Linked DNA regions of Styela clava. The protein of the gene in region 1 interacts with the protein of each later gene in a pairwise test. Links are inferred from orthologs where the notes say so. Each region holds a gene or a part of one and is shown on either strand. Other genes may lie near its edges.

The links.
Region 2: the proteins of prefoldin subunit 3-like (region 1) and prefoldin subunit 5-like interact in binary tests that used the Drosophila melanogaster proteins (3 or more experiments, as listed by UniProt). The link is inferred for Styela clava from reciprocal best matches to the Drosophila melanogaster genes mgr and Pfdn5.

What each region holds. Positions count from the first base shown.
Region 1 is NC_135259.1:21,589,577-21,606,944, reverse strand, and holds prefoldin subunit 3-like, read left to right. Parts: upstream 1-8,352; 5' UTR 8,353-8,485; coding exon 8,486-8,539; intron 8,540-10,863; coding exon 10,864-10,911; intron 10,912-11,393; coding exon 11,394-11,537; intron 11,538-12,553; coding exon 12,554-12,652; intron 12,653-14,637; coding exon 14,638-14,850; 3' UTR 14,851-16,361; downstream 16,362-17,368. Other genes in the region: uncharacterized protein LOC120338412, read left to right, coding at 308-3,122. UniProt on the Drosophila melanogaster protein: Binds specifically to cytosolic chaperonin (c-CPN) and transfers target proteins to it. Binds to nascent polypeptide chain and promotes folding in an environment in which there are many competing pathways for nonnative proteins.
Region 2 is NC_135260.1:7,615,687-7,632,170, forward strand, and holds prefoldin subunit 5-like, read left to right. Parts: upstream 1-11,298; 5' UTR 11,299-11,381; coding exon 11,382-11,831; 3' UTR 11,832-12,322; downstream 12,323-16,484. UniProt on the Drosophila melanogaster protein: Binds specifically to cytosolic chaperonin (c-CPN) and transfers target proteins to it. Binds to nascent polypeptide chain and promotes folding in an environment in which there are many competing pathways for nonnative proteins.

The DNA.
Region 1 (17,368 bases):
CAAATTATCAGCACAAAGATAATTTGGTTGTCACATAACCTTTTTTTTCAAAATAAAAATATAGATCTGTCATTTATTTAATTGGATCAGAGAAAATATTACAGAATAAATCTTGTGAAAATAAAATGCAACACCTTTGAACCACTCAATACAAATGTTTTGATTCTTGCTACCCTAGAATACATTCGCATACCGACCCACCAACTACTAACAAAAAGCATATTCGTGTGGCTTATTCATCTTATATTAAATCCTTCTTATTCTAGACTCGATCTAATTACAATTTCATATTTTTTTTTAATTTCAGGTATCAAAGTCAAGGAAGCAAGTTGGAAGATTTACTACCAGAGAATCAACATCATATAAAACACACAAGACACTCAAATACCGCACCAAATTTACCAATAGACCACATCGAACATTACACAAATGAGTTTGCACCGATACCGGTGAGACCAAGGTCATCTGAAGGTTATTACAGGCAACGTATTCATGACTACCATCATCAACCACCGCATTCAGTTACTTCAAATGAACAAGCATTATCTGCGTACCATCACAACCTGTCACCTTTGACCCAGGAAGTACCTGGGCAGTTCACTCGCCCTTCCGGAAACGCGCGGATGGGGTTTTCTGCTCCAGAAGGGTCTCTCGCACACACCAATCAACAAAGCGAAAGAAAGACTATACCAGCATTTCCCACTGTAGTACCACCAATCCCTTCCGAGCCGCTCGGGCCCGTGAATCAAATATTGTCGCCTTCGCAAGAAGTTACGTCTAAAAAATCTAACGATTTCGTCGAAAATCAGACTATTTTGATTCAATCCGACGGGCAAAACCATATAGATAAGTTAACAGACGAAATGTCACCTTTGAAGACAAGCGACTTGCGCACCGTTGACGAAACTTCAGTACCTTCAAGTGCACATCCTCCACTGAAAAAACAATTATCGAACGAGTATGGAAGTCTAATTGACGTGTTATATCAATACAAGCAAAATGTTCGGAGTTCGAGGAAAAAGGAAAAGCCATTAGAGTCGCCAGAGAGCCGTTTGAGATTCGAACGCGAAAAATTAAAAACGAAATTGAAAAAAGAGCTTGGGCCGCGGCATAGGCAGTCTGACAATTTGGAAATGGTTATTGAAACTTTACTTTATTTGTGTGAGACTGGAGATGCCAATACTGTGACCAAGAGAAGGCAGCGTGAAAATAACAGCAAACCGAAATCTAGGCCGAATTCAGCATTCGTCTTATACGCAGATGACACTTATCAGCACCACTGTGATGGAACTAAAAACAGAGATATAGACAGTAGTGACGTAACAGAGAAAGGACAATCGACGACAGCAACAAACCAAAATGTCGTCAAGGAAACTACTTCTCCGTTGCCATTTCAAAAGAGGCGACGCTATCATGACTATCAGGAAATTGAAATTCCGAAAACGGCTCCACCTATCGTTCGCAGAACAGAATTTTCATTTCCATCTGAAGAAGAGCTCAATCGTATTTTAGAGCAGTCAGACCCTACACCCCCTATACCTCCTCCGAGAAGAAACAGAAAAACTAAAAAAGATAATATTGCTGTGTCGTTACCACTGTCGCCTGCGTCTTCCAATGATAACCAACAGACTAACCTATCTCCTCCGCCCATTAGCGAGTCAGGAATTGAAAAAGAAAAAAAATTGGGTAAAAACGACACAAATGATATCGATGCATACGCTAAAATAACACGAAAGCATCGAAGAAGTTCATTGCCTAGTATGCATTTAACAGAGAGCGAATTGAAATGGTATACAGAGATTGGCGGGGCAAATGAAGGGAAAATAAACAAACACAGAAGCAAATTTGAGAAAAACGGAAGAGAGGCAGTGGAGTCGAAATTCAAATCTACTCGAGAAAGAAGGGATTCGCAAAGGTATGTTATACCACCAAAACCAAAATTGGTTGTTCATGAAAAACTTTTGGAAATTGAAATGAAAAGTTCAGATGAAGATTTGAATCTCGATGACATTCAGGTCGACGAAAAAACAGACGCTGAAGACATTATTAAAGAGATTGAAAGACGAATGTCCGAACGAGAGAATTTGGAAAATACATCAGAAAGTAAGCAATCTCAACAATCCCATAGCTCACACAATATCAAACGCAGTGTTCCTTCTGATTCGGACATGGGCACATGGAGCAGTGTTGCTTCGAGTGAACTTCTCCCGACTTCCCCCAGGAAAAGATTGAATCGTTCAGAAGGGAAATACCCAAGTAACGAAAGCACACCTTTTACAAGCCCCATTCATATGAATGATGGTTTTCACACGCCACCGCCAGATGGCGAAAGGGTCCAAAAAGTATACTCTCCGCCTATTTCACGAAGAAATGAATCATTATCACCGGTTCGTAATGTATTTCATACTCCCCCCACCACCCCTCACACTCCACATAGACCGAGTCCACTCATATCAGGCAGCCGCTCGATTTCAGCGACAAATGTCGCATTAATGGGGCGACGGTCGTCTTCTCCTACGCAACAATTGACTACTAATAAAGCGATTGCGCAATTCAACCCCAGAAAACAACCCCATTCAATTAAAAACAGCCCGTTACAACACAGAATGACACCTAAACCATCTTCAAACCCCGCTACCCCCACTTACCCCCCCGGAACTTCACTTAAAAGATCCTCCTCAAAATATGCCCCCAAATTACCAACAACCACTTTTGTGAAATCGAAATCTGAAGACTCCCCGTCAAGATGGGACGAGCGAAAAAGAACGTCACGACGAGGAGAAATCATATCTTTACCAGACGACAACGAGTATTCAATTCCTTGGGACTGTCAGCATCGTGACGTCACTAAGGTTGCAATCTCACCCAACCGTGACATCCCAAGTACACGTGGTCATACATCATACAGGATTCCCCATTACAAAAGTTCTCCGAAATTGGCGTTAAGTCGTTCAGATAATATTGGATTTTTCCCTATTACAGAGGATTCGTTATCCAACAATGGTAGCGATTATGACGATTATGCTTTTCCGGTGAATTCCCCAGTCAGTTCTTTAATCAAACAAAAGAAGTATTCAAGAAGTATTGAAAATATCTTGAAAGATTACGGTACAGAACTGTAGCAAAGTTTAAAACAATAAACCTAAACGATACCCATAACCCAAAATTAAGAAAGAGCAATGCACAAAAATATGGACACGAGAATCGGTACCGGTACTGTCTTAGCTGAGCATCGGCGGACAAGCGTGGGTGAATAAAGTGTAGAAAAGGTGATAAAAGTGTTACCATGAATTGAAACAAGAAAGCGATGTTCAAGTATATGGGCACGAAAGCCAAAACAAAGTAGTACGAGTATGCAATCTGTCACAGTAGACTACCTGTGCGGCAATCTTCACGACTAAGGCAAACGCGGAACCGACACAAGGTGCGCAATTTCAGATGACGTCATCGCACAAAATAAAACGAATTCCATAGAGCCCAAAAAAATTTTGAATCAAATAAAAGTAATAAATAGCCTTCAAGCCAAAAATAAAATCTTTAACCACTGAAAAGTTCAAAGCAATTGTCCAGTAATTACCGAGAAGAGCGGTAAGTTATGGAACGTGAATATCCAAAATAAGATCAAAGCTAACAAATATTTTTTTATTTAATCAACTTCCCGCCCCTAAAAAATTGTCTACGTTCACCTTGTGTGGCGGGCACCACCGTTTGAGAACTATTACTGTAACCCCATGCTTAAATATAACTAAATTTATCTATGCCGTGTTTAGAGATATATATTAGCTTTAAAAGCAAACACTTCTATCTGTATATAATAAAAATGCATTTTCTGTTTTCATGTTATGTTAGATTAACCAGCATATCTATATGTATTCATTTCATCAAATATTTTTTGAACTAGGAAAATTTTTCCCTCATATAGTTCACTTATGGAATATTTCTCCCCGACAAATCCAACCCTAACCTATATTAAAAGACTTTCAAATTAATTTGCGGTGCTCCCGAAGTATGTGAACCAAAATGGCGGACACCGGAATGTAGTATGTGTACCAGGTTAGAGCTAGGTCATAATTCCAGGTACAAATACTATGAGAGTCACTTGGCTAGTCCCCGAACTCGTAATAGAACTAAAATATAGAAAATTAGAATAAAAGTATGTTCTAACCCTAACTTGGTACACATACTACGTTCCGTTGTCCGCCATCTTGGTTCACATAATTCAGGAGTTGCTAATAATTTTCTGAATAATGTCACTGGTTTTAGAAATTTCTGGGAGAAATTGTCCGGACATCGATTTTTTTTTCATCTCGTTTACTTAGCAAAATTCGTCGATGAAAACCATTTTTTGTTTTAACTTTAATTTTATTATTATATATGCGAATAAAAATTATTCTATGATTTTGTGTATTTTATAGACCTTGTGACACAGTTTTCGTTTTAATATTTATGGTTAAATTTTTTCGAATTTTTAACATACCCATGTTCCTTACCGATATTTATGTATTAATATAAGAATCTTACTGACGTTTCATGGCTTGCTATCAATAATACTTTCACCACATACTCCATATCCTATGTTTATTATCAAATCATTTATTTTTTCTTCGCAAAATAGGCCTTTGATTTTCATTCAGCATTGATTATTCTGTACAGTATTTTTCATTCATAAAAGAGTTGTGTGACTCTGTAAGACACAATTTTAAGACTTGCTAAACTAAAATTATTTATCAATGACGAAGCACTTTTATGATCGAATCAATCCGACCCGAATATTGACCTACATTTTTATGAAAATTTTTCACGCTTTACTTTGTATACATTCGGTCAATTGTGATGCGCAAAAATTTATTATTGTTTTGAATTACTTATTTTTTCCGGTTTGGCCTACATCAGCGGTCAACCTGGCCCGTGGCAACCTTAAGGCGGCTATAATGCTAGGCGTAAAACCTGTTTTATATTTTCCTCAAAAAAAAAACCCCGGTTCATTAGTTTCATTACTTGGTAATGTTATTTCACAGAGTATTTTCACTTTGTTGAGCATGATTTGTTTGAAGTTAATAGGATTTGGAACCTACCAATTAAAATAATACTTTAAATGCCATTGGAATGATAAACAGGGGGACGGACCATGAGAGCTAAACCCCTCCAGAAGGAGAGCACGACCAATAAAAGGTTAGGGGCCACGGGCCCACACTCTTTGGATGAGGGGGTAGACATGGGGTTTGAACGTAAGATCTATAACCTACGACGCAAACACAGTTTTATTCTTCCGAGCCATCAGATTAGTCTAGTATTCAATGAATTAATTTCAATCACAAATTATCTAAACTGATCTTTTTTAAAGAAAAATCATGATATATGCCGCAAAAAATGGCAGGACATTCCTAACTTGAAGTCTAACCCAATTATAGCTATAATTATATTTTTTTTATTCTAGTTCGAAACCTCGATCGAGCGTGTCACCGACACCCTATCACTTATAGCCTATTTAGGCAAAGTATATTTCTGGTTGTAATGTCATTATGAGATTCTATTATCATATTTTTACTTTATTCTCTTAAGTTCTAAAAGTTTCTTGAATTAAATAGCAATTTTAAAATGGTCATGTTTAGCGTACGTGTTGTGTTATAAATTGACGAAAGAGGTTTATGACGGGTTGTCCCATGACTGGTATCCGGACGAAAGTTCGTAGCTCACCATGTGATTTAGTCGTCTTATCAGCTTTCCTCTTACGCGGGTTTGATATAAAAGTTGAATGCTTTTGAATTCACGATCAAGTACATTCTTCGTCTGCCGTAGGAGGTTGCGGCACAAATATATCATTGAACAAGAGCGCGATACTCCAAAACAAAGTAATTTTGGTGTCGTTTCTTTCATTTATGACTTCTGATCTATTACTTGAAGCCGATATCTATTTCACCCAGGTTGCGCTATGTGAGAAGATTTTCCGAACTTTGAGTGCCACGTGTCTAAGACTCATACGTTTTTACATTCAAATTTTTGTCACATTAACATAACTTTCATCAACTCCGTCAGTGACAGAGCGGGGCAAAGCTGAGTTTTGGTACAAGAAACTGGCGTTCGAATGATTCCGAGAACGTTCCGCTCAATAACAAGAGGCATTTAATTCCTAAGCAGATATATATTTTCGTTATTTAGCAGCAGGCCTTTCCTGTTTACTTTCTAATCCAGAGCGAAAGGGCAGTCTGCTGTTTAATGGAAATTTAAGACAAAACAAGACATACCTTAATCAAACAGCGAGTACATACAATAAATAAATAAAGCGATATGGATATACTAATTATACTAAAATCTAGAAGGCCATTGATAGCAATTGTAAAACATTTCAAATAATAGACGAACATGCTTGTAATTAGATCCATTGCATAATGTAAAAAGCTATACGTTGCAATATATTATTACGTTGTTATTATTTAAATTCCTGGGGACGCGTAATTCGTTTAAATTCTCTCATAGGCTCCACAGCTTGCGAATTGCACAGATTGAATGTAATTAGTTATGGGAATGACAAATTAACCTTATAATATTTGTTGTTATTGAATATTCCATTCGTCATTCGAAGATTCGTCCAGCCCTACTCTGGACATATCGACAATTCCTACAAGCTAGCTAGCTACTCGACAACGTTTCAAACGAAAATTTGAGAGTGAGTTGAATTAAGTTTGAATCGAAGAACGTCACTAACTTCCGTGTTAGCAAGCATCTTCTGACATCTACGTCAGCGAATCTCAGCATGCAAAGTAACACTGAGTACTGACTGACAGTACTGACACTTGGTAATTACAGATCGAATTACTTTTGCCGAAGTTACGTTTTGCACAAATCAACTTACATACGACTCCAACACCTGATTGCTACTGTCTAATCTCGCAGAGGCGAGTTTTCGGGCGATAATGGTAATTTATATGCCGGCCTTTGATATTAATCAATGAATAATTGCCCTGCGGGATTCGCTGGTCCGAATCCCACCGGGGTGATCATGATCACTCGTACCACACAAAAAACGCGTTTTGTACAAACAGCATGTAAAATGAAGTGAAAATGACGCTTCCGGGTAAAGGTTGATAATGTTCGAGTGCGCGAGGGTTTCTGGACTCTTTGTCTTTACAGTGTGGTTCGGTAACGGCTTCCAACCAAACCCATACATCTAGCTAGGATAGGAAAGGATTTTACATATTTGACCCCGGGGAGAGGGAAGCCCTACCACGGCCACTCGTCCGGTTACCAATCAATGTCGGGTATGGGATTAGTTTGCCAGTTATTTTCTGTTTTCAGACACAAGGACTTGTTGGCCGAGCCGAACTAACTAAAACGATAGACTGTAAAGACATCAGCTTTTACATCATACGGTCGGACGGCCTCCTTTAGGTTTTCGAATCCTCGCCCGGTGTTCCGTCATTCTAGGCACTGTGGCGGAGTTAAAAATGATTTATCTAATCAATACACGAGTAAATATAAACTCACCCATAGAAGTAAGATCCTGACCTGATGAAAAAATGAAACGTATGTTGCCGGTAGCCTACTTGAATAAACAGCTTGCGTCGCAGGCAGTGTTGTATCCGATTAAACATTCAAACCTCTAACGACATTGTAAATGAACTAGAGAATTGTTACCCGAATTTTTTCATCATTTCTAGCCTGAATAATGGCTATCACAAACATCCAGCTTACAGCGTGGCTTTCACAACAGATGCTTCTGGCTCCTTTGGTTATTTCCGAAATAATGGCCAATAAGCAATTGGTTGACGGTGATGTAACAATTGATTTTTCTCCAACCTTTTTTCACGCGGACAGAAGAAAAGATTGGCACAGTTCCGCGGTTTTCTAACCTTTTTGTTAGTTTTTAGTTGTGTTTGCTAAATTCAAGTATATATGTATTCAGACTGTCTCCCGAGGAGTTTTACATTAGTTGCAATATCAGTTTAGTCAGTCAAGATCAGCTATCTCTTAATATATTTCATTTTGAACAGGTCCATGGCGCAAAATGTAACAGCTCATAGGACAAACACGCAGGACGGAAATTTAAGAAAGTTGTCAAATCTCTAAATGAAGTTCGGAAAATGAGACATAAAGATACTACATAGACCATTTCATCTTGTGAAATAGAATGTAGGTGAAAACAACTCACTCGTCAACTGGACTTTAAACTAGGTACCTGAACTATAGCTTTAGGCAGATACAAAAATGTTTCTCTAATAAATCCTAAATGATTTTTTTAAGAAATAGTATTTTTTTATCATTCGAAACGATTTTTTATGGCATTCGCTGAAATGACTATTTTTGGTCGCGAAACGCATGACTGGGTCAACGATTCGTCGTTATAGCGACTTCACAAGTCCCGACCATTCCTTTTGGTAGTTTCGGTCAGAAATTGTCTTCATTTTGGGCTGTTTTGCTATTATTGGATTTGTCGAAAACTAGGAAACGAACTTGAACATTGGAAGTTTTCAAAGGCTAGTTAAATATGGCGACTGAAACTAAGAAAGCTCACCTAGGGATTCCGGAGGCAGAGTTTGTGGTAAGTCATAAGTTTGCCTGTCTCCAGGTCTCAGTGCAGCAGTGTCTGTCCGGCGCGGCGGTGTGGCTCAACGGGCTACGCGTTAGGAATACGCTCGCCACCGCACCTCTAATTACTCTGCGTGGGTTCGCAGGTTCGAATCCCATGCAGGGATGGTTATGTGCGAGAGGATTGCTGGACTCCTCGCCGTCGTTGGGTGGTTCACATAACCGCTGGTCGGTTACGGCTTCCTCCACCACCAAGTCCATGCTTCCGAAAACAAACAATACAGTAAAAACTAATCCCATACCCGACTTGGAATGGTAACCGGACGAGAGGCCGTGGTTCGCCATATGGATAAGCCGTCTTATCGGCTTTCCTCTCCCCCGGGATAAATATGTAAATCCTATCCTATCCTTGCCGTCGTTGGGTGGTTCACGTAACCGCTGGTCGGTTACGGCTTCCTCCACCACCAAGTCCATGCTTCCGAAAACAAACAATACAGTAAAACTAATCCCATACCCGACTTGGAATGGTAATCGGACGAGAGGCCGTGGTTCGCCATATAGATAAGCCGTCTTATCGGCTTTCCTCTCTCCCGGGATAAATATGTAAATCCTATCCTAACATAATAATCAGACGAGAATATCGGTCAGAGACCAAAGACATATCGATCGAAACTGCGGATTCGATTCATGACCTTATAGTGACATCGAGTGTCCCCTCACTAATTAATTAATAAGTCGCTAATTATACGACATAATTCATCCAAAATCTATAGACTTTTGGTCTGAGGTAGGATGAACGCACATGCAAAATTTGGAGCTGATTCAACCACACCTTCGTGAGATATCGCGTGCATCTAACAGACAGACAGACAAATACCTTAACATACCTTAACATCAACATACTTACCGATCTAAAGGTCGATAAGTCATAACGTGATCCATTAACGTTAAAAAAATATTGATCTGGTTCTGCGGTTCTCAATTCATACAGTTTACAGACTGCTGGACTAGTAACGTTTTGAAACAAATTTTGCCAACTTAGAGACTGGTAGACCTTCAAACTAAATTACAAAAGTTGTAAACACAAAACAAATTCTTAAATTGTCTCTTGTCCCATTACTGCATTACCAGTTCATTCTGCCCAGACTGGATTCCATGGCAGATGCACGCCCGAGGGCGCTAGCGCTCCACAAAAATGCACGCGAGCGAATTCAATTTTGCACGCCGAAAATTTGCAATTGCTCATCAATGTAAATCGGTTGAAATAGTTTTTAAATCAATAATCTAGTAATATAAAGATGCCAAAAAATTATAACTTTACAATTGTCGACTAATACTTGCTTGCAAGATTTGGCCTGATCGAAAAATGCGAAGCAAAAATCACCATATCGTGTTGAATGATAGGAATCCCGTGAGAAAAATCGCCTCCTCACCGACGCTGGCCAGTTATGGCTCTGATTCAGCGTATTTTTAATACAATAATTTTACACGGATGTACTGAACAGTACCGGTATCTAAAGTCGCTCAAACACTCTCAAAATTAGTGACAAAATATAGAAATGATGTTTTGGGGGTCAAAGGTCAAACGTCCATTTTTGCTATGATCCAACTTATTTTTACGCGGATGTATTGAGAGGTATCTTAGTTCGAAATCAGTTTAGCGGGCGCAGTTGTTTTGCACGCCGTGAGCTATAATTGCACGCCAGAAATTCTTATTTGCACGCGGGAATTTCTGATTGCACGCCCGATTTCTCGTTCGAAAAGGCCATGAAATCCAGACTGGCATTCTGCCAGTTGCCGGTATTAGTTTCAGATGCATGGGGTGGCTGGTGGAAGAAGCCATACCTGACCAGTCTGCCAGTAGTTATGTGAACTGCCCATATGATGGCAAGGAATCAAGACATCCTGTTTATCTTGCGTTAAGTTAGCTTATTGCCCAGGCTGAAAAATTGACTCAGCTCGACCGTGTGGGCATCATGCTAAGTGTTAAAAATACGCTCGTCACAGCAGCTCTAATTACCCTGTGGTAATAATTCTGTGCGAGAGAATTGCTGGACTCCTCACTCCGTGGCAGCATGGGGGGTTCACGTAATCGCTGGCTGGTTGGCTGGTCCTGCCTTCCTCCACCATCAAGTCCATCTGAAAACAAATAACTGACTAACTAACCCCATACCCGACATGGACTGGTAATCTCGCCAAAGGCTGTGGTTCGCCAAATGATTGAGCCGTCTTTTTAACTTTCTTCTCTTCTGGGACAAATATATTAATCCTATCACCTGACCATTTTCAGATTTTACATCCATGACCTTTATTTAAACATTGCTCTTTTGTTTTTAGGAAGATGTAGACAAATTCATGGCAGAAGAGCCTGATTCCTCAGCACAGGTAACAGTAAGCTATGGTTGTATGGTTGATTGAACTGACACCTATCTTACTACCACTCTCTCCGCATTTATGTTAGTGGATTCATTCACTGATTGCGCACGATAGCAGATACTGTCTGACTGTAGCAAGAACTCTATGAACTCGGCTCTCGTGTAGTTTCGTACCCATAGTACTTCTATTGGGTGTATTATAACCGTTTCTGATTTCCTTGTTTATTCCCGTAACAATTACAAATCAGCCATAAGTTAACAATGACATAACAATTGGAATTTATGTCGCCACTCAGACACTTCTTTCGCTCAGACAGATATTCAAACGTGGTTGTAAACATTGCCTTTTTTTGGTTTTGCGTGTAAGTAAAATGATAATCCCATTAATTTCCATCATGCGAACATAACAGAGATATGTCACTGTGCTATGACCTCCCCTCCACTTCAAAGGTATTACAGCACGCTCAATTATCCATTTCTTGATTATTTCAGGGGGCTTTGAAAAAACTTGAGGAACGTTACCAGAAATACAAGATGATGGAGATGTCGTTGAATCATAAGAAAGAGAAATTGAAGAATCAGATTCCTGAGATCAAAACAACTTTAGATATTGTGAAGCATTTGAATGATATTAAAGTGAGATCTTCATTTTGGACTTTCCTGTTATTTCCCCAAAATTAATTTTTATTGTAAGTTAGAATAAGATTTAAATATATTTATTTTTTGGGAGAGAAAAGACGATAAGAAGGCTAAATCATATGGCGACCTATGATCTCTCGTCCGGGTACCATTTCATGACAGGTATGGGTTTAGTTAGGTAGTTATTTGTTTTCGGAGGCATGGACTTGATGATGAAGGAAGCTGTAACCGACCAGCGGGCACGTTGATCACCCTTAGAAGTATCGTCACATTGGATTCTTACCTGCGAACCCATGTAGGGTAATCAGCAATTTTAGCATGATGTGGCCCCCCGCTGAGTTGGGGTGATGGCCAGTGTTTCCCAATGAGTGGGTCGCGAAGGACAAACACTGAAATACAGAAAACTACTGGAAGGCTTTTTAATGCATCCTTGCCTAATCCGTTTTGAAGTTATTTGTTTTCGGATGTTGGACTTGATGAATAAGCAAGCCGAAAATAACAAGCGCAATACCAAGTAATACCAAGCGCAAATAATAACTAAATATCCGCATTCAAGAAGATAAGTCCCTGATTGGGAAACACTGATATAAAGCTTTATTACTTATCGATTTTAATCGGTAAGTATGTTGATACGTATTTGTATGTCTGTATGTTTGTCTGTTAGATGCATGCGATATCTCACGAAAGCAAGATTGAATCTGCTCCAGATTTTGCATGTGCATTCATCTTATCTCGGACCAGAATCCTATTGATTTTGGCGAATTATGTCGTATAATTAGCGAGTTATCAATCAATTATTGATATAGTGATCTAGATTTTTGTAAAGCGAGAGAATTTTGAGACCCCCCGAGTGTGTGTGTGTGCGATGCGCAGTGCGCAAGTTACAAGAGCGGATGAATCGAAACTGCAGTTTGTGTTTTGGGGGATCCCCTAACTATCGATCGATAAGTCTTCGGTTTCCAACCGATATTCTCGTTTAAGTGTTATTTCAATAAAAATTCACTGATTTACAGGACAAAGATGAATCAATGGAAACTCATTTCCTACTTTCTGGTTCTCTCAGAGCAAAAGCAACAATACCACCCACAAAGGATGTCTGCCTATGGCTTGGAGTAAGTATATAGCTTGCATGTTTATCTGGGAGGGTTATGGTGGGTTTTTATTACTTATCGACATACAGGTATTTGCTTGTCTGTTAGATGAACGCGATATCTCAAGAAGGCGAGGTTGAATCTGCTCCAAATTTTGCATGTGCATTCATCATGTCTCTGACGAGAAGCCTAAAGTATGTCGATAGGTATTTGCCTGTCTGTTAGATGAACGCGATATCTCAAGAAGGCGAGGTTGAATTTGCTCCGAATTTTGCATGTGCATTCATCATATCTCGGACCAGAAGCCTATCTATTTTGGATGAATTATGTCGTATAATTAGCGAGTTATTGATTTATTAGTGATGGGACACGTGGTGTCGCTATAGAGTTATGAATCGAAATCGCAGTTTCGATCGATAAGTATTCGGCCTCCGACCGATATTCTCGTTATTTCTGTAATAATCATCTGGGCCAGGGGTCGGCAAACTACGGCCCGTGGGCCGGATCCGCTCGGAGCAATATTATAATCCGGCCCGCGACGCTTCACTGAATTATATTAACAAAACAGCTGTATTGACGATTATATTCTTTACGTGACAGAATTTGTTTTGAGACACTAAAATGTATTATAACCTAACAAGTATATAATTCACAATCACTCAGTTTAATGAGCCTATAATTGATTATAATTAGACAAATGGCAACAGAGCGAAAGAAAGTTGATGCTGAATGCAATTGGTTTAATGACGCAAAAAATATTCAAATGATCAGTCTTCTCGCACTGCTTGAAATTTAACTGAAATCTGTGTGAAAAAATGTGATTCATTGGCCATTCCTTCGGATTTTAAATTTCTAAAAATATGTACGGCCCGCCAATGACAAAAGTTTGCCGACCCCTGATCTGGGCACACATAATAAACTACTTAATCTTTACAAAAGCGGAGTGCGCATTGCGTATAAAGCTAGATAATGATCCATTAACCTATTCCGAGCGGTGGGCACGTATACGTACCCACGACAAAAGTCACTAGATTGCGGCGGGTACGTTGATGTACTTCACTGTTTTATTTAGCAATGGGTCGCAAACTGTTGGTCTAGTTTTTCCGGGTTTTAGTTTATTGATAAGAAGTCTTCTTCGAGATTAACATAAGCGACGGTAAATCTCGCTTTGGTTTACGCCGGGAATTTTATTTGCGGCGAACGAGGGAGTGTTTTTGAAATTTATGCAAATTTCAGTGTTTTTTGGGTGGTAATAGAAGACATATTATCCCTTCCATCTACCAAAGTATTTTGAGTTAGATCACGAAATTGCTACAGCAATATTATGCTATTGTTTGCCAACCACAAAGGATTTAGGATTTAGCAAATATTTCTATTTTTTATCACGGTTTGAAGTTTCAACTCCTAAGCAAAAAAAAAAGGCTTTTTTTTTATATCCGGTTTGTGACTCAGACGACCACTTTTAAAAAAACTTGCCAATTGCAAGCTCTTTAAATAAGCTTTCCAACGAGCCGTCAGTTGGCAGCAGAGGATCATTAGTTTTTCGTTAGTTGATCGATTAGTTGTGGGGGTACAAATGCATAAAATCGGCGTAGCAAATACGATTATTTAATAAAAAATAAAAATGGAAAGGGTTAAAGACCAAACAAATAAAGTAGTCTCATGCATAAGGAGGGAGGGAATGAGGAATTCCAAAATGGGCAAAAGAGAGAAATTTTTTTAGTATGGAAGAGTGTTGAGCCAACTATGTTAGCAATGCTACCCGTAATCACAAAGAAAAGTTTTTCTCCCAAAATATTTTTATTCCTCCCCGTTTGGGAGCACTGATTTGAAATGAGATTTACATGTTTATCCCAGGGGAAAGGAAAATCGATAAGACGGCTCAATCATATGGCGAACCACGGCCTCTCGTCCGGTTACAAGCCCATGTCGGGTATGGGATTAGTTGCCAGATATTTGTTTCATAAGCATGGACTTTCATTTAACGAATCTCTAATCTTTTTCAGGCCAATGTCATGCTCAACTACTCGGTGGAAGACGCTTACGATCTTCTGAACAACAATTTAAAAACTGCTGTCAAAAACCTTGATTCCGTAAACGACGATTTAGATTATTTACGTGACCAGTGCACAACGACAGAAGTTAGCATGGCTCGGGTTTACAATTGGGACGTAATGAAGAGAAAATCCCTCAATCAAGGGACAGTAACCGCCAAATAAAGACTGATTGTAATCGAAGTCATTGTTAAATTGAGCTATGACAAAATTCAAATTCTATTCCTGTGAATTTCGGCACTCCCGTAGTATGTGTACCAGGTTGCACTATAATTTTATCCCGATTTCCCTTATTTAAGTTCTTTTCCGAATTCGGGGACTGTCTGTGTTAGCCAAGTGAATATAGTCTCTGCCCATAGGCTTCAGTCCCTTTACACAACTTGATGTTAAGTAGGCGAACAAAATTAGTTACCTCCATATAGTACATACACTTCTGCTGGAGTGCGGGAATTTCTGCTTTTGAATTCATTCAAGATTTCCTAGTTTTGCAGTGATTATATATACGACTCTGAAGTTTAGATTTCTTCAAATATTTGAACATATTTTTCATATAACCTTGTCTCAAGTAAAATAAGGAAAATCGGAATAAAATTATAGCTTAACCCTAACCTGGTACACATACTATGGGAGTACCATAATCTCTTTATAAAGGGGCGGCTGGCATCTTTGTTGAGTAAAAAGTTCAATTTAATGATTTCTGCTATTTGTGAATTGATCAATATTTGACATTTCAATTAATTAGTGTAATGCCAATATTTTGTTTGTAAACTTCAACATTATTACTCCAAACTACATTGTCCGTCCCGTCTTGAAACATTTAACCTCTGAAACAAAGTTTGGTACTCCTGTAGTATGTGTACCAGGTTAGGCCATAATTTTATTCCAATATTCCAGTTTTATTACGAGTTCGGGGACCTGCCCATAGCTATCAGTCCCTTTACACAACTTGATGTAAAGTCGGCGAACAAAATTAGTCACCTCCATATTGGTACACATTCTTATGGAGCGCTCAAAGCTTATCCTATCCCTGGTCTATGTGGTCAAAGTCTATATATTAGAAATATTGTGAGGAGGACTTCCGTCCTTGTCCATGTATAATTGCGTCTTTAAATTTATCAAAATCATGGATGTTTCTCCGACCTTTGACCATGGAAAATTCAGCCTATACTTCACTATTCCAAATTTTTTTGCTTATTTTGATAGTGTTTCGGAGAGCGCTCACAAACTGGTTTACATGTTCATGACCACCTTTTTTATTAAAAACATTTAACCATGTGACGCTAACAAGTACTGATAGCGAGTCTATTAAAGCCTTTTAGCAGCCAATTTTTGATTATTGTAACTAATCCGAAGTTCATGGGAAGACTGAAATTCAAGTTTTTTGATTTACAACAAATTTTTGAAACTGAATTAAAACAGATAACACACAAAACCACGAATACGATGCTAAAATGCAATTCTCATGTCATTCTTGACTTATTGGTGATTGGTCGATGTTAGGGAAATAAACATGGAAATCGAGACTCTGGGAAGCATCCATTGTCTTAAGATTTTTTCGAAGCATTTGCCTCTGGGCTATGTTTCCTTTCTAAAATTATTAAGGCTTTGAGGATATCCAGCCTTTTCATAAAAATCCTCACTTGCTGTGTTTTATAAATAAAAAATGTATGCATGTCAAATATGTTTGAGGTTATCAACACAATGCCTTAGTAGGAACTAGTTGGATTTTGTGTTTTTCCCCATAAGACAGGTGTGTGCAACCTTTGATACAGGAGATCCACTGGGTTAATCCGCGTGTCACAGTTTCATTTAACATCGGCTTTCTAGTAGTTTCAGGCACAAAGAAGTAGGGCGTTGTAACGTCAAGGCATATTAGACTCGTGTATAGGTTTGGAATTATTTGCACGTACCAGTTGAACTAAATTAAAAACTACCATTCAAAGTTGCACACCCCTCTCACAAGAGAAGGAAGTTGGCTTAATAAAATAGTTGGACTTAGCTATGTACAGTGATATTCCCACCACCTTCCTACAGGAAGTGAACACCCCTCCTAAATTTCGAACAATTTTGAGGTGCGATTCCACTCTGATTCCTAACTCAAGTATAATTGTATCTAAATATATAGAATATGACAGTGTAGAGCAGATCATTTGCCAAAAACGACACATTTTTATAAGTTACAAATAATTTTTTCGCTAAACACCCCCTAAATTTCTTAACAACCCCCCCCCCCCCCCCCCCAAAAAATAAAAAGCTGAGAAACATACTGGCTATGTACAGTAGGTATTGCAGAATACATGTCTCTAGTTTAAATCCTGTGACAATCATCTCACTCAGGATATGATGAATTAAAAGCAATGCCAAACGCGGGAGAGATTTAGGTGATCTCAGAAATGGTAGTCCCTTTGTCAAGGGGTCAGCAACCTACGACCCGTGGGCCATATCCAGCTTGTGGAGTGAATTAATCTGGCCCTGCGGTCCTTCACCGAAATTTAGCGACAAAACGGTGGCTGTGAATTTCACCCATAGTTTGATAATCTAGGATCGCGGTGCAGATTATGTTGTTGTTGTTCTTAAATAGTATATGGTTACTCTCGTAGTATGTGAACCATGATGTGCGGTACATAGTATGTGTATCAGGTTATGCCATAATTTCAGGTACAAATACTACGGGAGTCACTTG
Region 2 (16,484 bases), on another chromosome or scaffold:
TGAAGCTGACGCTATTGCCAAAGTGGTTTAGTAGGAGAATTTTCACCTCTGTGTTATTAATACAACCTTCGGCATAATAGCTGTTCATTTGATCCCCAACATAGCTTAGTTCGTATTCTTCGCCATTTTCAAAACCTCTTTCAATGTCGGTAACAACTTTTTTCCATGCTCCCTTCTTCCAGTTACTCTCTTTATGAACAATTTACTGTCTACGACTCGCTTATATTCAATAAGATACCTATTGATGCACTGTTTATGGCAGTATAAATCTGCACCAAAAACTGCATGTATGTCTTGCAAATCACAAGTTCTGGTATAAACGTCATCCTGATTAAATACTGTGGCCCGAAGAAATTTCATTGCTCGATTCAACTCGGATATTTGATATTTTTCATAAACAACTTGATTTTTAACATACCCGCACACAACGCAGTTTTTCTCATAAATGGCTCTGTTGAAACTTGGCCTGGGCCGTGGTAGACTACCTGAACGTGGAGAACGGTTCTGATAACTCTCTCCGTCGCGTAGATCAGCTGATGTGCTTTTCAAAATCCTTTCAAGATGAGATTTCATCGTGTATGCTTTGTAGCTTGATAGACAAATTTCTCCGTCTCGTAGATTAGCTGATGTGCTTTTTAAAATCCTTTCAAGATGAGATTTCATCGTGTATGCTTTGTAGCATATGATAGACAAATTTACTCTGACCAACAACTTTCAGTCGCTTGCTTACAACGTCATCTCTAATTAATCCTGCATTTCATACCCGTTTACGGCCAATTTCGGTTCCTACTATTTTCTCAGTAGAAGTCTCTTGGCGGATTATACATTTTGAATCATATACTAGGACGGTCTGGTCAACAACTCCTGTAGACAGATACACGGGGTTCCTGCTGGTCGCTATGTTTTCCCTAACTGAAGTCAAAAAACAGTCGCCAGAAAAATGTGCATATTACAAAGTTAAATGGAATCGCGTTGGAATTTCGTGACCTTTTGACCCCTGGTAACCTCAGTTGAACTCGTATCACCCCCAAAAAATAATTGGAATGAAATAGCATGCCAAGGAGAATAATTTGTGAAATGTGCAAGATTGTTAGAAAAAAAAAAACTACTAAGATAATGGACATTCTATTTTTCATTCCCCTAATTCATTGGTCGAAATGTATGGGCCGTTACGCAAGATATAAATTCGGATTTCTCGCTAATTGCCGGATTTCAGGAATGGTAACCAAGGTTTTCTAATAAGGGTAGTGACCCTCTTCAAAATTCCAGACCTAAATCTCGGGTACAAGTTTTGCACACGAGATCGGCCACAGCGGATGCATTAAGCAGCACCATACAATGGTGATGTGCACGTTCTGACCAATTGGAATAGATGTTTGCACAAGCACTTTATTCTTGTTGACGCGGCTCTATCTGATATGGTTTTTTCAAAATCCGAAACGATTGTCCAAAAGATGTTTATTGTTGAATAATTTAACATAGGAAACAGTCAAAAGTTGGTGAAATAGTAGTCAAATAGAAATCCGGTGAAATACAGTTCTTTCGCACAGAAGGGACCAATTATATATATCGATATGAAACAAGGAAAACATAATTATTGAATGTAAATTTTAAGTAACTCTAATTAAGGATACTAAGCACCCCCGATTAGTTAATATACAAATTTACGCGTCCCACATCCAAGCGGCTCACGCCGAACAGATCGTGCCAACGCCAAAATGGTCAGAGTTCAATGCCCAAAGTTACCGTTGCCAGTTTATTTATATAAGTGAAATAATAAAAGCGGTTGCTGTTTAGAATCATGGCCGATACAATGATGGAGCCAACATCGATAAAATTTGCAAAGAGTGACGTTTCATATATGATAAGTTTGGAATGACCCTAGTAATCGACAACCTCAATTAAATTTCCTTGTCTATGCATCCATTTATCCATGAATAAAAACGGGACATCCTTGCTTGATCCTGTAAGAACCTGTGTATTCTCATAACCCAGCGTTTCCCAAAGGATGCTCTGCAAAAATTAACAAACTTGTGTTAAACATAACCAATATATGATTGAATATTTGCCATATTGTATTTATTATAAATGTTTCATTTTTTCTTAATCTAAATGCTCTGTATATGAATCAATAAATTCATTTGACCTTCCTATGTCGTTTACCTTCTGTTACGTAGAGTCTGCCTCTATTGTAACAAGGGAGATATACACTTCTTGCCTCAATTTCTTGAGCTGCAGTTTAAATATCTGCTGAATCGTGTTTAGCGAACATGAGTAATTTTTTCAGCCAATCAGGCAGAGAAGAGTTGACCTTTTGTCTTTATTCCTTAGTCCTGCATGTTTAAAAACATGAAGTGCACATTATTGATCACAAAATTGAGTTTTTGGACACGTTTAGTGGACATAACGATCGTTTTGTTGTTATGTTGTTCTTGTTCTTGTTGTTCTTTGACAATTTTCGGATACCTAGTGGAAATATTAAAAAACCGCTTTTCTCTTTGATCACTAGACCAATTGCTTTGAAATTCCTAGTGGTTAAAGATGAAATTTCTCCAGAAGGCTATTACTTTTATTTATTTCAAATATTTTTGTTAGCTCTGTGAGATTTGTTTTTGTTTTCTATGACGTCACCGAACGTTCTGCGGACATCGGACGCCATTTTGTGTCCTACTGTACTGCTTCGCTTGGTGTAAATATATTTGTAGACTGTGATCTGATGGTACGGTAAACCGTACTGTACTGCGAACAGACGTGTCCATATATTTGGGCGTAGCTCTCTTGTATTTAAAAGCAGCATTTTTTCGTGTGAGTGCGCCGTGAGTTTTTTCCCTGATAATTTGACGCCGCACAAATAAAAAGTTGGGGAACTGCAGCCATTATCCTATCTCAGTAATCAGTAGTTTATTTCTTCAACATGCTGAAAGTACGAACTCGGTACCATACATTAATTAATTTTAATTACTTATACTGATTAATAATATTTGGTACAATCTGAACTCTAATTTGGCTATATTCCCACTTTGGTGAAGTGGTTTTCTTTTAGAAATATTTTTCCTATACGTTTCACTCCTGTTAACTAATTCGTTATCCAATTTGGCTATACTTAGAAAATTATCAATACGTTATGGCAAATTTTTTTTTTCAGTTTTATATTTTGTTTGTATATTTTTCTTTTTACGAAGTTATATATCTTATGTTACTCTTTTTTTTATATCTCTCCCATCTTAGTTTGTCTGCGTGATTCTGTGTATGCGTGCGTGTTTTAATCAACTTAATGTCAACCACGCGTCACTCCTCTTGACAACACCTTTCAATCCAAAATATGTACGTTTTGAACCCTATTTTTTCATTTTTCTGATTCTGTAATCAGTTTATTTATTTAATTCTATCAATTATTTTATCGTCCTTCATGATGATTATGGGGTAATAATAAAGGCATATTCACAAATATTCACAGTAAGCTTTGTAAATTCATAGGTTGGCAATATTACTGGTCCTTGCATAAGATGTTTTCTCAAATATTACCAAACCTAAAAATGTACCTCAGGATGCCCTAAGAAAAGTGGAAAGATACTAATACAACAACAACTATAATGCAATTTTCTTGCTCCTTTTTTCTAGTTGACAAAAAAAAAACTAGACACATGGCAGAGAGTCACAAGATGTCAACATTGAGTAAAGTTCTGGTTGTCGTTATATTTGCATGTCAACGGTACCGCAACTGACCATGGCATGTGTGTGTTTACCGTAGTACCGTACTGTAGTATATGTACGGTAACTTAGGTTTATTTCCATCACTGCTTGTTTTCATAACAAAAGTAAGCATACCGGTACCACAACAATATCACTCAATGTATCAATTATTTTATCGTCCTTTATGATGATTATGGAGTAATAACAAAGGCATATTCACAAATATTTACAGTAAGCTTTGTAAATTCATAGGTTGGCAATATTACTGGTCCTTGCATAAGATGTTTTCTCAAATAATACCAAACCTAAAAATGTACCTCAGGATGCCCTAAGAAAAGTGGAAAGATACTAATACAACAACAACTATAATGCAATTTTCTTGCTCCTTTTTTCTAGTTGACAAAAAAAAACTAGGCACATGGCGGAGAGTCACAAGATGTCAACATTGAGTAAAGTTCTGGTTGTCGTTATATTTGCATGTCAACGGTACCGCAACTGACCATGGCAGGTGTGTGTTTACCGTAGTACCGTACTGTAGTATATGTACGGTAACTTAGGTTTATTTTCATCACTGCTTGTTTTCATGACAAAAGTAAGCATACCGGTACCACAACAATATCACTCAATGTAGCCGAACTCATACCACAGTACCGCCACCGGTAGTACAAAATCGGTTCAAAATGCTACTGGTAATGTCAGATTGTTCTAAAGTCATATAGCTGTATAGGCTATTACCGGTACGGTTTAAAGTGCTAATGTCAGATTGTTAAGTTCCAAAGTTACATATCACCATATTATGATATTGCAATAATAGTGACGATGTTCGCTTACGGTATCTTGCAAGTGAAAACAGTATTGCATGTATCAAAATCAACACGAAAAAGAAACTCATAGCCTACTTATCAAGCAATAATGAAAACTCATCAATTACCGTACCTTACTGTAGGTCAGGCCTACTCAACTGACGGACCACCTCGAACCTTTTGGGTATTCGATTCGGACCGCGACTAATTCTTATTTTGGATCATCAGTCCCACTTTTGAAGTTTCCTTTTATTAAATCACTTTTATAGATTTGAATATATATGAAAAGAACTATAACGCCATAATAAACAATCTTGATTAACTAATAATCATTAGCCAGCCAAGGAAGCGCATGTTTAAGGATGCTGAAATATAATTTCTGAAAAGACCGGAATGGGCAATTCCAGCGTTACTTTCGTTACATCTGTGCAAATTTTAAACTGACTTGGCCAAAAGCCTATTACAAGCATTCAAGTCATAGTGTTTGTAGTTGTATATGGCCCTGGGCTTGTAACATAGGCACCATAAAAATGGCTCTACTATGGACTACTTTCACATAGACGAGTCGCGAAGCGTCGTTACTTGCGTTACAGAAAAAGGACACTAGTTTTTTGGACAAAACTTTGACATGCTCCCCATCTCAAGATAATACCACTAACTAACTACTTTTTCCCATGTCCGAAGAGATTATATTTCAGATGTAAAATCACAAAAAATTATGTGAAAAACTTTCATTTGAATATTAAAATTTTCATAAGGAACAAAAAATGGTCCGTTACTTGCGTTACGTTACTTACGTTACAATCATGGTCCAATTTTTAGTTTATTGCCAAGTTTGACATTTAGTCAATATTTAACATTTAATTTCTTTAAATTTCTATGTTTAAATTATAAATCCATAATTAGAAGATAAATTCTGAAAATAAAATAGTGTTTTAAGAACAAACTAGCAATATAGAACTATTTGCTTGGCAAAGAACAATAACATGAAAAATAAAACAAAAAATGAATGAAACTAACAAACAGTCAAAGGTAATGCATTTGATATTTTTACTATAGCAGGGTTTATTTTTATTTATATTGCCAGAAAGAGGTATATGCTAAACATTTCAGTTCTTTTACGTGTAGTAACATTATAACAAAATATATTATGTTAAATGAAATTGCAGACAATGTAAAAAAATCGAATTAATGTAGAATAGCTTTTACTCTATGCTCGAGTTCACTGAAGTTCGCAATAACATAGTGCCCTCTATTGTTGATTGGAATCGGCTTCTCCAGTTGTTCAACTATGTCTGTGTTCATATAGAAAATGGAATCTTGGGTAATTGGCCATTTCCAGTTCTTACCAGCCCTCTCCATTACCGAGACCTTGAATTCGTTCTTCTGTATACAAGTAACTTCACCTGGGTATAAATTTCCTTCGTAGCGAACAGCTACCCAATCTCCTATTTTTACACTAGAGCCTTGCGTACTTCTTTCAGCTGCATCCACATTAATATCTCCTGTTAAAAATGATGTGAGGAGTTGACCATTTTTAACCTCCATGTGGTGAATTTTGCTTATACCATGAACAGACGAGGCTTCAGCAAAAATTTTTTCTAAATCCAGTTTATAGCTTATCTCTTTAATTTGCTCACGCGTAATTTCCATGCATTTTATATTTTGTATTGCCATGGTAGCTTCTGTAAAAGATTTTGCATCAATGACATGATGTTTTCTGCATCGGACTTGATTCCATACATATCTTTTAACTGAACCACCGATACCATCGACTGGACCTTTACCGTGCGATGTAGCAAAAAAATTCCAGGATATTGATATATTGTGCACACTTTCCAAGGCCGGCAAAGACGCTAAAATATATTTGTTTTTGAATTGGGAGCTGGGACCATCTGACCAAATTTTGACAGATTTGATAAAACTAGGTAATGTGGACAAAATTTTGCTCAGAATTGGAATTACTGCTTCTTTTGAGTGACAAAGATAATCTGACACCACTGCCATTGAATGAATTTTTCCCCCATACCACGCTGCAGCTGTAAAAATACTAATTTGCTGTTGCTGCCAATGTGCACTCTGTATCTCATCTTGGTTAACGCAAGTATAATTTTCAGCAAAATCAATTTGAATTAATGCTTCACTATTACTGTACGATGCCGAAGTTGATAAAGTATTATCTCGATCTAACTTGTAACGCATAGACTGCTGCCTTTTAATATACGAGTGTTCCAAAAACTGCGGTAACATTTGATATACATGCTCCAGAAGATCATTTACATCACCCTCCTCCTGAACCTTTTTCAATCTAGAATCACTGACACTATTCTCCCACACATACCAGCTCACAAACTTATTTTCAAAACCTTCCAGTACTGCACCCCAACTCATTTTAAATCCTGCACCATCCTTGCATCGCATACATTCATTTTTCCAGCATTCTAAATTTGGACTAGCACAGACAAATGTGTTTACAATATTTGTGGTATACGATGGAAATTCCGGAATCACTTTATGCAAAGAATTAATTGCACAAATAAAATTCTCATGATATTTGCAAAGGCAAACATTATGAGGCAATCTGGAACTTAAAAACACATTTTTTGGTCTAAGTTCTGCAAACTTACTTCGTCCTATTTTTAAATGCGGGAATTCATCACGAAAAAGTTGATATACTTCTGCGATGCTAGATGTTAAATGACGTGTTTGTAGCCTTTCTGTAAACCCATCTTTTTTTATTGATATCACATCCTTTTTTCCAGGTGCTTGCCGGCTGATATCGTCTCGCCTATAAAAATCTGCAACAGCATTAACTGTAGATTCTAATATACCGGTACGACGTTTTCTATCAGTTGATGGATTGCCCTGTTGTTCTTTATCCAAAATTTCCCAATATAGTTTTCGAACTACTGCCTTTTGTCTATTTGGAGTACTAGGCAGTGCAGTACGCATCATTCGCTTTGCCCTTGCAGAAGCCTTTGCAAATGCCAAAGCACTCTTGAATGGAGCATGGTTTTCTTTGGCCTGCTTTTTCATCAACCTGTGTTTGGCAACACGCATCTTTACTGCATTTCTTCGCTTTTGCTTAATCATATTTTGCTCTTTCACAGATAAATTATTTTCCTTGTTTCGTGACTTTTCTCTACTTCTCCGTACATATTCTTTCTGTTTTAACTTAAATTCTCCTATTTTCCCTTCTGCCTTTTGTCTCTCCCTGAACCGCTTCTGTCGCTCTGCTGCAGTCAAAGGCATTTTTTCGGTACTGGTACTTTTTGACTAACTCCCAACAGCTGAATCTAGATTCTAGACTATATAATTTACTGCAATAAATGGGATAAAAACATCTAAAATAGCCAAAAAGTGCAGGGTAATGTACCTGGTAATGGTCTTTGTGTACCGGTAAGGTTTCCACCACCACAATATACAAATAATATCTACAATTTAGGGTTGCCAGATATCATGCATTTTATTGTGGCCAGTGGCAACCTATTTCTTCTAACTTGTTTAAGTGATGTGCCAAAAATTAGGTATTCTCTGAAATTAACTATAAGGAAATATATAAATAATAATTCAAAATAAACTATCTATTTATAACTTATGTTAAAACCATAATTTTCCATATATTATATCTTTTTGATTACTAGAGTCTGATTTATAAGATTTTGTTACTTACGTTACAATTGTTACTTGCGTTACATTGTTACTTGCGTTACAAAATTTGACATTGAATATTAATTAATATATACAATCATAGTAAGTTAAAATGCACACATATTGGCTGTGTGTGTGTACATAGGATGATGGTATATTGGCAAAAAATGAATTTCAGTATTTTTTTACAAACCGTAAAAAATGTCGAAAAAACGTTACTTGCGTTACCAAAAAATCGATATCAGTAAATTGCTCCCACAGATACCAAGGGGCAGTATTATACAAAACTGAATGTATCCTGAGAATGGTGATAGCCCTCTAGTATAGCAAATAATTCATGTTCATTTGTGTTTGAATTATTTAGGTTAAAACTTAAGTTTTGTGCCAATGGCTCAAAAAGCTAGAAATTGAGGTCAATGCCCCACCTACTTTCAACAAGCTTCATTTTTTTTATTATCGAATATAGTTGTGAAATAAATTAAGTTAACAAAACTCCAAGATATATTTCATGATAATATGGGTTGTTTCTTTGGGATTGGACACTTTTATTTTTTTCAAGTTTGTCCCTAGTTCCGTGGAATTGCCCGAATGAGTTAATTTCTGGAAAGACCCCAATATTTTTGAATTTTGTATGCGGATCTTCGATAAAAATAGTTGAGTAGCCCTGCCGTAGATCACCAAGTGAGGCACAACTTTTCGTGATAACGGTACCTACTGGCTACTGTGGCAGTTATTGTTTGTAGTTTAGGATACTGGTATGGTACGGTCCCTCTGCGTACAGTACAGCAGTAGTATACAAACTTCCATAGCTGCATATGTACCATAGTCTAGTTTGAATAAAAAGTTAATGTCCAAAGTTCACTTGCTGACAATTATTTGAAAATGTACGGTGATGTTTGTCTGATTTGAGTGTAATTTTCATGATTAAATGCTTTTTTTGTTTGATATATAATTCCTACTGATTTTGTTCTGCGCGACTAGATCGGCATACCATATCTCTTACAGCAGGCCTGCCCAACCTTTTTTGCCTCGCGGGCCACTTTCATGTGACAAAATTCGTTGCGGGCCGCAAACGTTTGTACCAAACATTAATACAGCTAAGTCCGGATTTTGGTGTAGGTAATTTACATAATACATAAAACGCAAGTTTATCAAAAAAAATCAATCAATTTAATAATTGCTTTCTGGTTACTGAGTAGGGCTGGCAAATTATTCGAATATCAGAATAGCAGTTTACTATCGAATATCTGGTAACACGGGTCGTGGACATGACACTTGCGGTTTTCTGACGACCACGCGAGAACATACACAACACGTCGACATCGAGGGGTATATTTGCGTTAAAGTGTTTCTATTCATTACTTTTCAGTAGCAATGTTTAAATGAGCGTCGCGGGAATATCAGGTTATGTGGGCCGTTCTGTAAAATTTGAAACACCAATTACAAGTATTTATTGAAGTAACATTACAAAGATTTCTGGACGAACAGCCTATATATGCTGATTTGTGACCAATATGCAGCAATGCAATTAAGTCAATTTCATCTGAATTATTGACGGATACGCAGTGACGACATTTCCGAAATCTTATTCAACCCAAACATTAGATAAAAAATACTAACATAAAAGGACAACAAGTCCCAGTACCAAAGAAATTGTTGACTTTTTATTTTACGTTGGACAGCCTTGCCCTTACAGTCTTATGACAATTGGGGTCTCAAACAAGCTAATAAGACTTCCCCCAAAATATATTGCCAAACTTTATCTTAGTTCATTTTTACCACATGAAATTCTTGATTGGTAACTGAGAGTTGTATGCCGCTACTGAGAACAGAAAAATAAAAGCGATACTTAGGAGAAGCAGTTTGAGATCCTATCATAAAAAACTGAAGTAACTAAAAAGTTTTGATTTTTATAAAGCCAATATAATATGCATGTTCATTGTTCAACTACAAAAAATTTTTATTCGCCGCAATGACTCTATATTGCAGATATATATTGCACTTTTGAGTTTATTGAGATAATTCAAATCAATTCAAGATTAAGTAAATTTAACATATTAGATGCTTGATTCCAGGAATACTTTTAACCAGTTTTATTTATAACAAAAAACTACCAATCTAATCAATTGAAATCTTTGAATATTACCAAAAAATGCATCGACTTCCACTTGCAGACTTGTCTCCTTTTAAACATTACCCATTTTCAATATGACAATATTATTTTGGGATTTATGGTAAATTATTCATGCTGCATCTAAACTAAATATTTCACCTTAGAACTGGATTTTGGCTCCATAGCCATTTTAGATGTTTTTTGATACAACAACGAAACATCCTTAATGCAGTTTTGTGGCTGTGGCTAGAGATAATCATGTAACTATTCATTGGTGATCCTGTTGTGGTCACCCTCAGCATACTGTGGGTTCCACTGTAACTCTGCACCATCACAATCTTAGGTTTATTGCCCATTGTTAGACAATGCACATATCACAATGTATTGTTGTTATATAGCTCACTGCTTTCATCTCCTTGGTTATCGAGTTAGTGGTGCTCGAGGTCGTATTTTCTTTTGGTGAAGTGAACGACTGCTGGTTATAGCAGATAGCTTCGTGATATTTTGTGTTTTTTTTTTCAATATACATATACTTGGTTCCACTTTTTCTTCATTATAATATAGTGTTAGACTTATTTATGGGTGCCGCTGCTCGATAACCAGTAGCCTACTGTTTTTCCGCATTTCCTCCACCCTGCAATATGGCCTGTTTATAATTGATTGCAGTTTGTATGTTTGTGCCTATTTTCAGTATGGTAAAATATAAACTACTGGTTACTGAACTATTTTCCTAGTGTCAAATATAAGCACCTAGTCAACAATTCACTTTTATAGTGATCTCATAGAAATTGCATACAGATTAAAAATAAGTATAATATCCAACTTATGATGAGAATCCTTGTACATGTTCACAACACGAACCAAAAATTCTTTACAAGAAGTGTAATAGAAGAGAATTGAGATTGGCATGGAGCAAGTATCACAATGATTGTAAAAGCATAATCTTTCTAAGTTAATTCAACTTAAACAGAGCTATATCTACTCTTCTAACTTTTTATACTACTTGCTGATACCAGTCTCTAAAACCCAAATTTTCTCTCTAATCAGGGGCTTGTGTTTTATTTTACAGGATCAAAAAAATAATATTTACTTGCTTATTTATATATAGCGGAACTGGAATTATGACTAGTGCTCCACAGCAGATAAATTTGGCAGCATTGCCAACACACGAACTAAAACATCTTGTTGAGCAAATGCAGCAAGAAGTTGACATATTAAGTAACAGTCTTCAATCACTGAAATCTGCACAATCCCAGTTTGCAGAATCTAAATCATGTTTGGAGCTTTTGCAGAAATCTGAAAAAGGTAAAGAAATTTTGGTGCCGATGTCCGGTTGTCTCTATGTCCCAGGAAATCTCAATGAAACAGAAAATGTCATGGTTGATATTGGAACAGGATATTATGTTGAAAAGAAAACAAAAGATGCTGAAGAATATTTTAATAGAAAAGTTGATTACTTGAAGCGACAAATGGAGTCTTTGCAAACTATTTTGCAGCAAAAATTTCAAAATAAGCAAATGGTTACAGAAGTTCTTCAAACAAAACTCATACAACAATCGCAGCAAAAATAAAAATATTGTTTCAAATGTAGTAGTTTGTGGTGCACATCATGGACTGCAATATTAGTAGCCATCACAGTGTCATGGGTTTGCTTCTAGATCATTGACCATATCACATGTCTTTTCACATTTATCATTTTGTTTTCATATGTAAACAGGGAGCAAAACAGCAACAACTTTTTTTTTCTGGCAGTATATTGAGGATATTACTTTTTGCCTATGATGTCATAGAATGTCATGTTATTCCAGTGGACAAAAATCTCATTCTGCCCATTGATTTGAGTTTTGTCAGATGAATGATATCTGCTATTCACAATAATAAAAATAGTTTAAAATGTAAAATATTCAGATATTGTCGACGAATCTTTTAGCTATGTGAAGTAAATTGCTACTGAAAATATGTTGCTAATGCTAATTTTGAACTTTTTCCACACAATTTCGCTTTCAACACGGAAATATTTCCATTGCTGAAATTTAAATGATAAAAAACGCTTCTTCTGTGAGATTTTTTATCTGCATCTGATACCTTGAGAAAATTGGATACACATAAAACTGCAGGAATGTTCTGAAAACAGCTTTGTTATCTGATTAATCTTATGTTATCATTATCTTCTCCACAATTGTAAGTCATCAGGGGCGAAGCCAGGAATTTTCGAAGGGGCTTGAAATTTTTAATTGCCAAGTCTGACCGTAACAACCTAGGTCTGTCCGGAGGCCGAAAAACGTCGGTTTTAATTTTTTAACGTTATAAAAAGGGGGGGAGGGGCACCCGCCCCTGAGCGTTGAGTGACATCCACGTACCTTTACAATGTACAATTTTATCCGAAATGATTCAGTTTTACGCAAAAATTTAAAAATGACAGGTTCAGAATCAGTTTCCAGTCTGCTTAAACGTCACACTGCGGTTAACTGGTTTATTTTATCCTGCTTAGGGTTAAAGTATTCCCCCTGTAATTCCCAGCTTTACTCACTGGGTCTTCCTGTATGGCTTGCTAAGCTGACGAATGACTGTGGTTGCCTTGTGATAATCGCATCCTGAAAAAAAAATTGTGCAATTGTAATTAGGGTTGGATTATCCGGATAGCGGTTAACCGAGAGATATTTTGATATCTGGATATTATTGTAAAGGTTAACCGGATAATAGAGAAGTATAAATAATGCATATGCGCATTAGTGATTTTTAGATGGAACCACTCAGAGCAGTGGTTCCCAAACCATAGGTCGCGACCTACTGGTGGGTCGCAAACGGAATCTTAGTGGGTCGTGAAAAGATGTAGAAAGCTTTGATTAATTATTACTTATCGATTTTAATCGGTAAGTATGTTGATAGGTATTTGTCTGTTAGATGCACGCGATATCTCACGAAAGCGAGATTGAATCTGCTCCAGATTTTGCATGTGCATTCATTATATGTCGTACCATAAGCCTATTGATTTTGGATGAATTATGTTGTATAATTAGCGAGTTATGGACCTTTGACCCCCGGATAATTCTTTCTATACTTTACCATTGCAAAATTTTCAGGGGTATTTTAAGGGTGCTTTTGCGAGTTGGCGCCTGTAAAATGGGGTATGTGTTTCAAACCATCATTATGATTCATCGCATACAACAATCTTTTAAAAGTACCGGTAAAGAATTTCAGGCTAGTCTATCACAGCTATTTCTACACTGATTTTTATTACTGCAATCAAATTAAAACTCCTAGGAAGACAGAGTGATCATTGAATTATCTGATTTATATTTAAGTTTCCGAAACACAACTGAAAACTAACGAATAGAGTTGAAAAACGCGGAAACGAGGTAATGTTTACAACCATACTTAAAAATCTGTCTGAGTGAGAAAAGTGTCTGAGCGGATGCGAAAAGGGGGCATTGTTACGTCACTTTTTGCATCTTGCTGATTGGCCAATGTCACGAAGTAAACAAGGAAAACGATGCTCGGGGAAAGGTCCATTAATTAATTAGTGATGAGACACAAGGTGTCACTATGGAGTAAGAGCGCTGTTTTGGGATCCCCTAACTTTCGATTGATAAGTCTTCGGTCTCTGACCGATATTCTCGTTATACTGGTTATTAGGATCGGTGACGACTCCAATACGTAAACCTGCAAAAAAACAAATTAAATTTAAATTCTAGTCTGTCAAAGTTTCCTTTTTACGATCTTCCCAATGGAACAAAAATTGCTACACAAAGACTAACCATGTGTCTTTTTTACGCATAGCAGTTTTGTACACTGTACAGCAATCGTGTTTCCTAGAAATTTAGACAGGATTTAGATTTATTTTCCTCTGAAGAATAACCTATGGTGTTTTTTTAGAAGATGTCTTTTGAGTTCATTTATCAAAAATGAAATTACATTGTAGAAAATCACGAGATTTTTTAATAAACATTATACAAAAATCGACATCCATTGTTTTTATTTGTATTTCCTATACAAAAATCAAGTGACAAATATCATAATTGTGATTGTGACATCACACAATCTTGAATAGTAGTGTGATCTTCAACTTACCTCAGGTCATTGAACCTTCCCTCTGCCACACATTTTAAATTTATTTCAAGGGTTGGGTTTAATTAAAATCATTTTTGAAATTAAAATTAGGTCTTATTTTCAGGCCAGGTCTTATTTTCGAAGTAACACGGTGCTTTACGATGATTAGCCATTTCTGTGTTATGTCTTAAAAAGTTAAATGGGTCGCCATAAGCTGTGGTAATAAATAGTGGGTCGCAACTCTTAAAAGTTTGGGAACCACTGTCTCAGAGCATTTATTTAATCACTCATATCCACACTACCCTGCCTTTAGTCATCTGTGTAATGCTGGAGTGAACTTGGCCATTACATCACAAAACACGCAGAACAAATGTGATTATTGCGTATTTGCGTTATAGAAAAGCTCGACTTACGTTACGTTAAAATAAAATCATTTCTACTCTAGATATAAGAATACGTGGTTAGCTGCACGAATAAATCCAATTTCGTATTTTTGCGATCTTGCAAATTTATCAAATTTGAGCTATTATTGCAATTCCCATGAGTATAATTTATTTAGTACAATAAATGCAGATATTAATTAGCTCATACATCAACATTTTCGGGAGAAAAGTCGGGTTCAGTCTCGACGGTATACAACGCCGATAATTGGTTTCGCCCGGAACTAAAATGGCCGCAGTATGTTATCTATCGTCGTATCTATCTAACGTTAAGAGAGTAGTTCTGAAACACACATTTTTAACGGAATATAAGGAAGTAAATGCTAACGAAAATACCACGACACTTGATTTATGAGCCAGTGATAGATAAAGCAAAACTCTATTTTAGGCGCCTTTTGTATCGCCAAAATATCGTAATAATTGTATTTACTGAATTTACAACAAGGGTAACTTTTCACGAGATGTAACTTCTTAGCAAATTAAAACTGTGCCGAATTTAATTCCCCAAATAATCACCCGACGCGGAAGAAAACGATCGGCGATGAAAACAAAATTAGCTTGTAAAATCCGACCGAAAAATTTGAAAAGAGATGGAAGTGCTGTTATTACATTCATGGTTTCCAGGGAACTCTCTTTGTTTGCAAGATGCAAAGTTTAATTTAACAGACTTTGCATCGTGTCATGTTTTTCATTTACTCATTTAGGGTGGTAAGTGAAGTTTTCAAAAACTGGTGCAGCATTGTTTTGGCTCTGTTAATTAAAGGGTATTCGGATGGAAAAAGATTGCAAGTCGTGGCCTAAATAGTACAAACGTGAGAATATTTACAGTGAAATGTTAAATAAGTGAAGTTTTCAAATTAGAAGAAATTTCTGACTAGTTCGTTTTTTTTTTCAAAATCATCATTACGCTTTGTCATTAAAAATTTCGTTCAAAATTTAATTTTCAAAACTAGTATTTTCTTATACACTTCACGGACTTTGTTCTCCCCCCCCCCCCTCCCCTATATTATATTTTTTTGGGATACTTCTCCCACTGAAATAAAATCGAAATGCATGATTTTTTGTTTCCATGATTTCATTTATATGTATGCTCTTATGGTATATATTCACAAAGTTTATTTCGTCGTGCAGGAAATCACAAAATAATATAGAACACTAAATAATATACAATACAATAATAAATTTCATTGCAATTGATAGAAAGGTGCGAAGGATCAGAAATGATCAAAATGAGAAAAGAGGCTCCAGACACAAAAAGAAACTTTCAACAAATTCAACTATGAAGTAGAAATAATATAATTCTTCACATATGATTAAAATAGAAGAAAATAACTTCGCGGTGGCGATGAAAGACAATTAGGACACAATATTTTCGAAAAATGTTTCATTTTATTATTCCGTTGTACATCGGTACGATTACAGAGCTTAAATTATTATTATCCGTCATCCAGATAATAAAAATTATAGGTATCCGAACTAACCCTAATTGTAATGTTGGGAATAATACAACAGTTTTTGTTAGTTCGTGTGTTTCAGGAATGAGTGGATTTTATCTCATTGGCGAGACCTTCCCCATTAGCATTCAACTCTGAAAAGTGTGAATTGACTTTCAGCAGCGTCCCATGTTTCTTAACATTTGTCTCGGATTTGGTCTGGTAGTTGATAACTGCCCATCAAAATTAGCAGAACAAGAAGGTCGCGCATCAGGTAATGCCTAAGCGGAGCAGCGAGTTT